Linked DNA regions of Ovis aries. The protein of the gene in region 2 interacts with the protein of the main gene of each other region in a pairwise test. Links are inferred from orthologs where the notes say so. Each region holds a gene or a part of one and is shown on either strand. Other genes may lie near its edges.

What was found. The genes of interacting proteins can lie anywhere in the genome.
Region 1: the proteins of NFKBID (region 2) and SS18 interact in a two-hybrid assay, tested with the Homo sapiens proteins (2 studies listed by BioGRID and IntAct). The two-hybrid records come from large-scale screens. The link is inferred for Ovis aries from reciprocal best matches to the Homo sapiens genes NFKBID and SS18.

Annotation. Positions count from the first base shown.
Region 1 is NC_056076.1:31,101,876-31,106,689, reverse strand, and holds part of SS18 (protein SSXT), read right to left. Parts: intron 4,179-4,814; coding exon 4,086-4,178; intron 3,370-4,085; coding exon 3,250-3,369; intron 1-3,249. UniProt on the Homo sapiens protein: Appears to function synergistically with RBM14 as a transcriptional coactivator. Isoform 1 and isoform 2 function in nuclear receptor coactivation. Isoform 1 and isoform 2 function in general transcriptional coactivation.
Region 2 is NC_056067.1:45,892,093-45,897,635, reverse strand, and holds the start of NFKBID (NF-kappa-B inhibitor delta), read left to right. Parts: upstream 1-2,088; 5' UTR 2,089-2,231; intron 2,232-2,798; 5' UTR 2,799-2,934; exon of another isoform or gene 2,935-2,950; intron 2,951-3,078; 5' UTR 3,079-3,124; coding exon 3,125-3,139; intron 3,140-3,975; coding exon 3,976-4,166; intron 4,167-4,247; coding exon 4,248-4,353; intron 4,354-4,471; coding exon 4,472-4,618; intron 4,619-4,732; coding exon 4,733-4,784; intron 4,785-4,876; coding exon 4,877-5,025; intron 5,026-5,543. UniProt on the Homo sapiens protein: Regulates the expression of IL-2, IL-6, and other cytokines through regulation on NF-kappa-B activity. Functions in the regulation of inflammatory responses.

The DNA of each region.
Region 1 (4,814 bases), on a different chromosome or scaffold from region 2:
GCGTCAGACAGAAAAGCATTTAACCTTTCCACTGAAAATATTTCTCTTAACTCAATAAACTTACCTGACTGATCTATGTAACATTTGTTTTCATATGAACACAATAAAACCAGAATACTCTATTTACTCAATGTACAAATGTTCAATGGTCATGAAATGGAAATGCCATTTGAGAGTAGTAAGAATATCTCTTCAAAAAGACAAGAAATACATGGAATATTTCTAAAGACATATTTGGAATTAGGGAACTAGAAGTGATCAATACCTAACTTCCAATACTTGCCTGAAATTTCAGTGCTTATTTGCGAAGGTGCAAGAGAATTTTAGCCTGATTCTGGTTCTCAGATTTGCTATCACAGGTGGAAAGAGGTGCCCATAATAACAGCAGAGTTTAAATCAATGAATAAAAAGAGTAAGACGTTGTTGTTGTTGTTTAGTCACTAAGTTAGGTCCAACTCTTTGTGACCCCATAAACTGCAGCATGCCAGGTTCCTCTGTCCTCTACTATCTCCCAGAGTTTGCTCAAATTCATGTCCATTGAGTCAGTGATGGGATCTAACAATCTAATCTTCTGTTGCCCCCTTCTCCTTTTGCCTTCAATCTTTCCCAGCGTCAGAGTCTTGTCTAATGAGTCAGCTCTTAGTAGCAGGTGGCCAAAGTATTGGAGCTTCAGCATCAGTCCTTCCAATGAATATTCAGGGTTGATTTTTTAGGATTGGCTGGTTTGATTTTGCAGTCCAAGGGACTCTCAAGAGTCATCTCCAGCACCACAGTTCAAAAGCATCGATTTTTCGGTGCTCAGCCTTCTTTATGGTCCAACTCTCACATCTGTACACAACTACTGGAAAAATGATATTTTCAACTATACGGACCTTTGTCGGCAAAGTGGTATCTCTGCTTTTTTAATACACTGTCCAGGTCTGTCATAGCTTTCCTTCTAAGGAGCAAGTATATTTTAATTTCACGGTTGCAGTCACCGTTCACAGTGATTTTGGAGCCCAAGAAAATAAAATCCATCACTGCTACTTTTCCCCTTCTATTTGCCATGAAGTGATGGGACCAGATGCCATGATCTTAGTTTTTTTTTTAATGTTGAGTTTCAAGTCAACTTTTCATTCTCCTCTTTCATCCTCATTAAGAAGCTTTTTAGTTCTTCACTTTCTGCCATTAGAGTGGTATCATCAGTGTATCTGAGGTCGTTGATATTTCTCCTGGCAATCTTGATTCCAGCTTGTGATTCATCTAGTCCTACATTTTGCATATAAGTTAAATAAGCAGAGTGATAATATACAGCCTTCATGTACTCTTTTCCCAATTCTGAACAGGTCATTCTATGTCCGGTTCTAACTGTTGCTTCTTGACCCACATATACAGTTTTCTCAGGAGACAGCTAAGGTGATCTGGCATTCTCATCTCTTTTAAGAATTTTCCACAGTGTGTTACAATCCACAGAAGGCTTCAGCATAGTCAATGAAGCAGAAGTAGATGATTTTCTGGGATTTTCTTGCTTTCTCCATGATCGAACAAAGGGTGGCAATTTGATCTCTGCTTCCTCTGCCTCTTTGAAAACCATCTTGTGCATCTGGAAGTTCTCAGTTCACATACTGCTGAAGCTTAGCTTGAAGGATTTTGCACATATCCTTGCTAGAATGTGAAATGAGCACAATTATATGATAGTTTGGACATTCTTTGGCACTGGAATGAAAATTGATCTTTTCTAGTCCTGTGGCTACTGCTGAGTTTTTCCAAGTTGCTGACATATTGAGTGCAGCATTTTAACAGCATCATCTTTTAAGATTTTAAATAGCTCAGCTGGAATTTCATCACCTCCACTAGCTTTGTTCATAGTAATGCTTTATCAGGCTCACCTGACTTCACACTCCAGGATGGCTCTAGGTGAGCGACACCATCGTAGTTATCTGGGTAACTAAGACCTTTTTGTTTAATTCTTCTGTGTGTTCTTGCTACCTCTCCTTAGTCTCTTCTGCTTCTGTTAGGTCCTTACCACTTCTGTCCTCTATCATGTGCATCCCTGCATAAATGTCCCGTTAGCGCCAATTTTCTCAAGGAGAACTCTAGTCTTTCCCCTTCAATTATTTTCCTTTATCTCTCTGCTAGTTCATTTAAGGGTTTCTAATCTCTCTTTGCTATTCTCTGGAACTCTGCATTCAGTTGAGTATATGTTTCCCTTTCTGCCTTGCCTTTCACTTCTCTTCCTTCCTCAGCTGTTTGTAAAGCCTCTTCAGATAACTACTTTGCCTTTTTGCATTTCTTTTTCTTGGGGATGGTTTTGGTCACGGCTTCTTGTACAACATTACAAACCTCCATCCATAGCTCTTCAGATACTCTGTCTACCAGATCTAATCCCTTGAATTTATTTGTCACCTCCACTGTATAATCATAAGGGATTTGATTGAGGTCATACCTGAATGGCCTGGTGGTTTCCCCTACTTTCTTCAATTTAAGCCTGAATTTTGCAATAGGAAGCTAGCTCATGATCTGAGCCACAGTCATCTAGACATATTGATGTAAACAAAGAGACCCTGTTAGCAAAAGATGATATCTAATTAAGCAGCTATATCTCCTATCATAGGAACCATATTTTCCTGTATCTCAAGTAGTCATAGATAATTCAGACTGAGATATCAGGTCTGTATCATTCCCCACTCCCTATCTAACAGATAGCCAACTAGTAAATACTACAGTGAGAATACAATAAGAAAAGATGGCTATACTTCCTCCAAACTCTGTAAGATACATACCTGTAATAAACATACCCCTATGGAAGTGTACACAACTATTTTAATAGGGCATGACAAAAACATTTTCTCTAGGCATTCCAAATGGACCTCATTTGTACACTAAAACATCAATGTTACTTTTCATGGTAACAGTCATTAGTTTTGGAAATGAATTTGCCAAGCAGATTATGTAGATACTGTTAGTAATCACCCAACTCATCAGTTTTCTAAGCACACGCAAAGCTACTGGCTGGTCATGAATGTCAAACAGGTTTAGGAATTCATAAATTAATGAATTCATTTCAAATGACTTTCTATACCTTACCTGTGGTCAATGAGCCATCTCCAGTTTATGCTTTTTCTTAAACAGACTACTAGTTTTAAGAACTTTTCAAAGAGACACTGCACGAGTAGACTGAGCTAAAGCTGTGAATTTTCAAATGAAAATTAAATATCCCCTTCCACATTTTGCAGGAGGAACTAAGTTAAAACTGCCAGAAGCGATTACCGTAGCCCTGCTGCTGTCCTGGGTAGCCTTGCTGCCCTGGGTACTGCTGCTGGGGTGGGTAGCCCTGCTGGGGAGGTGGTCCTTGGTAGGCATCTTGCTGTTGGCCATACTGCGTATTTCCTACATGATAATTGGAGAAGAGGACAAAAAGAAAATACTGAGGAGTTTGCTTAATTAACTTTATTCCTCTAAGATGCATAGCCAACAACACAAGAACAAAATGAAATGCTATATTGATTTTTAAAAGTTAACAAAACAAAGAAAAAACTCAAACCAAACAGAAGGATTTCGGCCAAACAAACTGCAGTTAAAGCCAATTTTGCAAGGTTGAACTGCAGCATTTTCAGCGTCTCTGCCATACGAGCATTACATTTACTGGAACATCACAGTCATAAGATCATGACTATGCTAAATAAAATAAAAAAGACAAAAATTAAAGACAGCTACAAGAGCACACACTAGCTACACAAGATCAGCAAGCTGTTTCCTAGAGGCACTAAACTTATATGTAAAATTATACATATGTGAACACACAACAAGAAAAAAAAATTGGATTGATGGATTTATGTTCAAATAGAAAATTTCCACTGAGGAAAAAAATTATTTTAAAATGTTTTAGTCTTTTTATGGTTGTTAGAAATGGCAAGTCATGGTTATACATTTTAAATATTTGTAAGAAAATTATTCTGATTGTTCTAGGCTCCCTGGAACTTTCAAGACAGCCAGCAACTAGTATTCTACAAGAGCTTTGCGTGGGTAGAAGTTGTCTTATGCAAGAATTTTTGTTCCTGTAGAAGGGGATATATATGTGTATGTGTGTGAAGGTATATAGATACCTCCTTCGTAGTAATGTTGTGAGGAATCCTCATAAGGCCTATCGTAGCCTTGTTCAGGATACGACGGTTGCTGATAACCGTAATCATTATGACCTACATCAATTCGACAAGAGACAGGAAGAAACGTTAATGGCCACTGAGTGAAAACCCTAAATATATTTATACTTTCAGATAAAACTGAAAAAAAAAGAAAAAGAAATGGAAATACATAAAAAATTTCAATTGCATTAGCCAAATATTTACCAAATGTGATTGCTTTCATATTGAGATAACGTGCAATTTTCTTTTTAAAGCAAAAAACAGTTTTAGAAACATTACACTTAGTCTTAACTCTGATAATCCTCATCAAGGAGGGGAAAAAAAACTTTATCTTCCATTTTTTTAAAAAAAGAAAAGGAAAGCATTTAGGCCTTTCACATGTAAATAACCTGAATTAAATTAGAATGAGCAAAGGAAGCAACTGTCATATTTTGTCAAACACCTGCTCTGCTGGTCGCCAATTCCACAGCATATGCTAAAACAACGCAAAATATAAAAGAGCTCCGTAAGTTTTTTTCCCCCTAAAAGAAACTTAAATATTTCACATTCTGTATTAACTTCCTTGAAGTATTTGTATATCAAGGTATTTTCAGATGCAAAAATATATTGCTTAATGTTGCCATTCTGGGAGTCTTTAGGAAATATTTCTGGAGTATCATAAACATACACCTTCAAAAATTAATACTGTGT
Region 2 (5,543 bases):
AAGGCCACCTGCTTCCTGTGTGTCTGTGTGGGAGGGGGAGAGGTGATGGATCCCTCTGACTGCCTTCAGGGACAAACCAGGGGGAGGGTCAGAGAGGCCAGGGAGGCTGCTATGATTGTCCAGGTGAGACGTGACAGGTAGACCAGGGTGTGGGCACTGGGGAGATTCTGGCAAGATTTTTAAAGTAGAGGCGACAAAACTTGCTGACGGAGTGGATATGAGTGTGTATGAGAGAGAGGGGTCCAGGATGACCAAAGATTCTGGTCTGAGCAACAAAGGACAGAGAATCCTTTGATAGGATGGAGAAGGAGGGGAAGTAGGTTTAGATGAAAAAGTGCCCAGGTTTGGCAAACTGAGTTGGAAATGCCTGATAGAACTCCCTGTGGAGAAGCTGAATGACCACAGCGGCCTCTTTTGAGTTCATGGGATGTCTGGTCTGGAGATGTAAATTTGGGGACTGATGGCTCATGGATGGTATTTAAAGCCGTAAGACTGGATGAGATCATCAAGGAAGTGAGTAGAGACACGGGAGCAACACTACCTCCCCCAGCACCAAGAAAGGGTGACGAGGAGTAAACAGGCAGGGAAACGGAAGGAGCAGCAAGTGAAGGAGGAGAACTAGGAGAGCACAGTCTTGAACGCAGGGGAGAAATGTGATTTACATGGTAACCAAGATGGGAACTGAGAAACGAGCCTCCCACTGGAATGACAGTCTGCCCGAGGGCTGGGAATTCCTGCCTGCTTAGTTCACAGATACACCACAGCACCCAGCAAAGTGCCTCCCTTGCACTAATAAATTCTTTTTAATGACGAATGAACAAATGAGAACTGGCCTCTGAAAAAGACGGTGATGTGGGGAAGAGGGGACATTTGAGTTCACCTATATTACTCTTACCTACAGACCTTTCCTGCCTTGAGACCAAGGAGTCCAGAACCCCAGCCCCCTTCTCCCTGGACCTGGTATTACTGGCAGCGTCCTCCCACCCTCTACCAGCCCAGGGCCTTGAAGTCAAGGCCTCCAACATCCACTTGGACAAAGATTCAGAAATTCGGGTCCCCAGTTCCCTCCTCCTTCAGGAGTCCGCCACCCTCTCAGGGTGCCTCTGAGGCACCTTCTCCCTCAGACCAAAGATAGGGTTCCCAATTCCTCTTTCCCAGGAGACTTCGGAGTCGGGCCTTCAAAATGAGCTCCGCCCATTCAGACACCAGATTCGCTCAAGCGCACCGCGGGGACTCCCGGGCTTGTGGGCGGGGCCCTGCCCAGCACTGGGCGGGGCCAGACTCTCTGGTTTAAAAACTCGCGGGGAGACTCGGTCCAAGATCGGGGACCCGGCGGCGGCTCCGCGGGGAAGCAGCGACGCTGGCGCAGCGCCGAGGCCGGGGCCCTGGGGGCCCGCAATCAGCACCACGGAATCCCCGAGGTAACTGGGGGGCGGGGAGGTGAAGTACGCTCGGCCCCTAAGAGAGGGGCTGGGGAACGGACTCCTGAAGTTCGGAGGGACGGAGATGGACATCAGGAGTGAGGGGTCTAGCATCAAGCTGAGAGTGAGAACCCAATGTGTGCAGGGGGCAGAGGGTGCAGAGTCCTGGGTCGTGATGCAGGAGCGGCTGGGATTCTGGGCTCCGAGTCCGGAGAGCTAAAGGACTGGGGATCCGGAATCTTAGGTCCTGGGGGTGAAAGTGCTGGGAGGCCCCGAGCCCTGCCTGAGTCCTAGGAGGAGGGGCTGGCGACCCAGCCGCCATACTCGAGAAAGAGGCTGGATTGAGACCTTGGGGGCGTTTGAAATTGGCCAAGGTCTTGATAGGCAATGTCCAAGGCTTGGCTGCAGGGATGCTCTCTGCCCGTGATCCTGCCCCCCACCCTGGGATTTCCCGAGTTGCCGCCCGGCCCGGATCCCCGGGCTTAGCAGGAATTCCCCATGTGCGGGGATTCCACGAACGCCACGCTTGGCCACGCATCGTGTTTCGGAGCCGGACACCTGGTGTATGGGGTAGAGAGGAAGAGGGAGATGGAAGATTCCCTTGCGTGAGCGCCGTGACGTCAGCGCGTCGCGTCTGGGCTGTTTCCGAGTCCGCCCTCCCGCGCTTAACCCTTTTTCCGCCCGAACCGGGTGAGGGCCGAGGGCCCAGGCCTCTGGGGTCGCGTGAACAAGGAGTCTGGAAACTGGGAGCTGAGGGCCGGACTCCTGGGTCCTGGGGTAGCAGTTGAGAGTCTCCCAGACTCCTGTGGGGTGAGGCTTGGACTCCTGGGTGTGAAGAAGGGGGCAAGGTCCGAACTTTTGGATCCCTGAAGAGCCAGGGGACTGTTGAATTCGTGGTTCCTCAGGGAGAGGGGCTGTGGACTCGGATATCTGGTTTCCCAAGGAAAAGTATCAGGGCAGCTTCTAGGGCAGGGAGATTTGGGAACCTGGATGTGCGTCTCTGTGAAGGGAAGCCCGGCATCCCCCCGAATTCCTCAGGACTGGGAGATCTGGGGGTGGGGTGCCGTGGGATTTTTCACGGAAGTAGCGGTCAGAGGGAGGGGGGCTGCAGAGGGCGCTTTCCACCCCCTTCCTTAGTTTCCACGACGCTGGTGGAAAGTTGGGTCAGAGGGGAAAGTGCGGAGCAAAAGGAAGGAAACGGCGGAGGCGGCTGCGGCGCCTCACCCGAAATCGTAGATTGGCTTTGGAGTTCTCAGGCGACAGCAATGTGCCAGTTTTTTCCGCGCGGGAGGGCGAGGAGGATGTTCAGATCCACTCCCCCGCGCCTTTGGGTGACTTAAAGACCCCTGATAACTTCACTCCCTCCTCACCCCGCAGTGAGCCGGAATGAGCGCAGCCATTGCCCGTCACAGACGGTGAAGAAGCTGCTAGAAGAACAGAGGCGCCGCCAGCAGCAGCCAGACGCCGGTGGGCTACCGGTGAGCCCCAGGACGCCCTATAAACTACAACTCCCGTGAGGCCGTGTCCTGGTGGGCAAGGGCCCTCAGGGCTGAGGAGAGATGTAGTTCTGACTTAGATGCCCTGTAGGTGGGGAATGGGTGCCGCGGAGTCTGCTGGATAAATTCCCCCTTGTTTCTTTTTGTTTTGGCCTCTACAGGGACAGTTCCCACCTCCCCTGGCCCAGCCCCTGACTTCATCTGTGAATGAAGGTGAAGCTGGTAAGTCTAGAAACTCACTGGGTTCCCTCAGGGACTCAAACATCCCCGCTCTTAGAACTTTCTAGAACTTAGGCCCTTATTCTTGCTGAGACCTGGTAGAAGTTTTATCTCCCAGATTCTCTGAAGCTCAATAGTTTATGCAGGTAGTCCTGGGGCCCAGGCTCCCAGCCTGGAGTCTAGGCCCTCACTCACTCAGTGTTCAGGCATTTAGGCCCCCATAGTCCAAACCTCCAGCCCTTTGGTGCCCCAGAAGTACTAGCTTTCTGTATCCTGGGGACACTGGCCCCTCATACAGCTCCTGTCTGGGCTTCCGCTTCCCTGACTCTGGTAACCGGGCCTGCCCCTGCTCCTTCTCTCACACACAGGCCATACTCACTTCCCAGCACACCAGGAGACTGTGGGTTCTGGACTTGGCAGCCTGGCACCCCCCACTGGCTTTGTAGACTGGGACCCCAACACGCATGCTGCCTACACGGACAGCCTCTACTCTTATCCTGCTTCTGCTGCTGAAAGTTTTCTGACTCCTGACTTCTACTCACCCTCGGACCCAGGGCGGCCGTGTTCGTTTCCCCTGGGGATGGAGGTGAGACTGACAATGGGAACTGGATGCTGAAGGGTCCCTGAGATGCCCAGTTGCCCTTATTGCAGCACAGCATTCTGATATGTCTGGGTTAGGAACCCATTCCTCAGATGGGCAAAACTGAGGCCCAAAGGTCCAGGGTTACTGGCCGCAGATGGAACATCCAGCCACTCTGCCTAGCACTCTGTATGTATATGTATGTGGTGGAAAGGGAATTCTCAGCTGACTGGCTCTCCCCACCCTCTGTACCCTTCAGGACCCCCTGGACACTCGGCTCTATGCAGACCCTTCCCTGCCACAGGCAGGATCCTGGAGGGCTTCTGGGCTTCCCTCAGGACCTCCACAGTTGCCTCCTGTGGTCACTGGACCATCCCTGGACACTGCCCGTGCTCACATGCTGGCTCTAGGGCCCCAAAAGCTGCTGGCGCAGGATGAGGAGGGAGACACGTGAGTACAGGGGAGTGGAGTCTGTGGGCTCCCTGCTCAGCTGGGGTGCTGTGCTCATTGCTACCCCCAACCTGTCCCCAGGCTCCTGCACCTGTTTGCGGCGCGGGGTTTGCGCTGGGCAGCATACGCCGCAGCTGAGATGCTCCAAGCATACAGACATCTGGACATTCGTGAGCATAAGGGCAAGGTGAGGGCTGGAGGCTTGGTCTCCTGGATCTGAGGACAACAGGGCTGAGGGCCTGGGTCCCTGGTGTTCAGAGGGTAGAGGATGGGGGCCCCAGACTGACCTTTCCTGACACCTGCAGACCCCTCTTCTGGTGGCTGCTGCTGCCAACCAACCCCTGATTGTGGAGGATCTACTGAACCTGGGAGCGGAACCCAATGCCACTGACCATCGAGGACGTTCTGTCTTACACGTGGCCGCTACGTATGGGCTCCCAAGAGTCCTCTCGGTATGTCCGTTTGGCAGATGGGATGAGTGGGATGGGCTAGATTGCCTAGATCCTGACTTCCAGGGCTACATGGCCTGGAGAGACTCTAAGCCAGCTCTCTGCCTTCTCCTCCAGGCTGTCATTAACTCAGGGGTTCGAGTTGACATAGAAGCCAGAGACTTTGAGGGTAAGTTGAATGGTGGGCAGGGTGTTGTGGCAGGTGGGGCTGGGTCAGGGGAGTGCTCCAGATACAGAGTCCTCACTGTCTCTGCTCTGCAGGCCTCACCCCACTCCACACAGCCATCCTGGCCCTCAACGTGGCTATGCACCCACCTGACCTATATCCCCCAGTACTGAGTACCCAGGCCCAGGACAGGCTGGCTTGCGTCAAGATGTTGCTGCACATGGGTGCTGATCACACCAGCCAGGTGAGCTGGGCAGTGGACAGCTAGCCCCCAGGAGGGCATGTGGGATGGGAGCTCTTGAATGTCCAAGAAGGCTAAATAAATGCCGACTTGCCCCTTGTCAGTGGCGTGAACTTAAACATGCTACTTCACTTCTCTGTGTCCCAGTTGTCAACTGGGAATAATATTAATGATTTTAGCTTATATTTATCAAGCACTTAACTATTATTAAACACTGAGTTTCACCAATTAGCTAATTGAATCCTCACAAACATTCTTTGATGTGTGTGCTATTAGTGCCTTCTCCATTTTAATGATAATGAAACTGAGGCTCCAGGACTCAAAAATCTTGTACCTTGTAAGTGTCAGAGAGGGAATTCAAGCCCAGGTGGCCTGACCCTAGAATCCAGCTCTTAATATATATACTGTCCTCCTTCCTGACAGTAGCTCCTTCAAAGGCTGGCTGAAAGAATTACACATCCACTCATTGTTTTGGATTTTTTTTGTTTTAGTTAAAGAACTTTGAATGCAGATAAAGTACA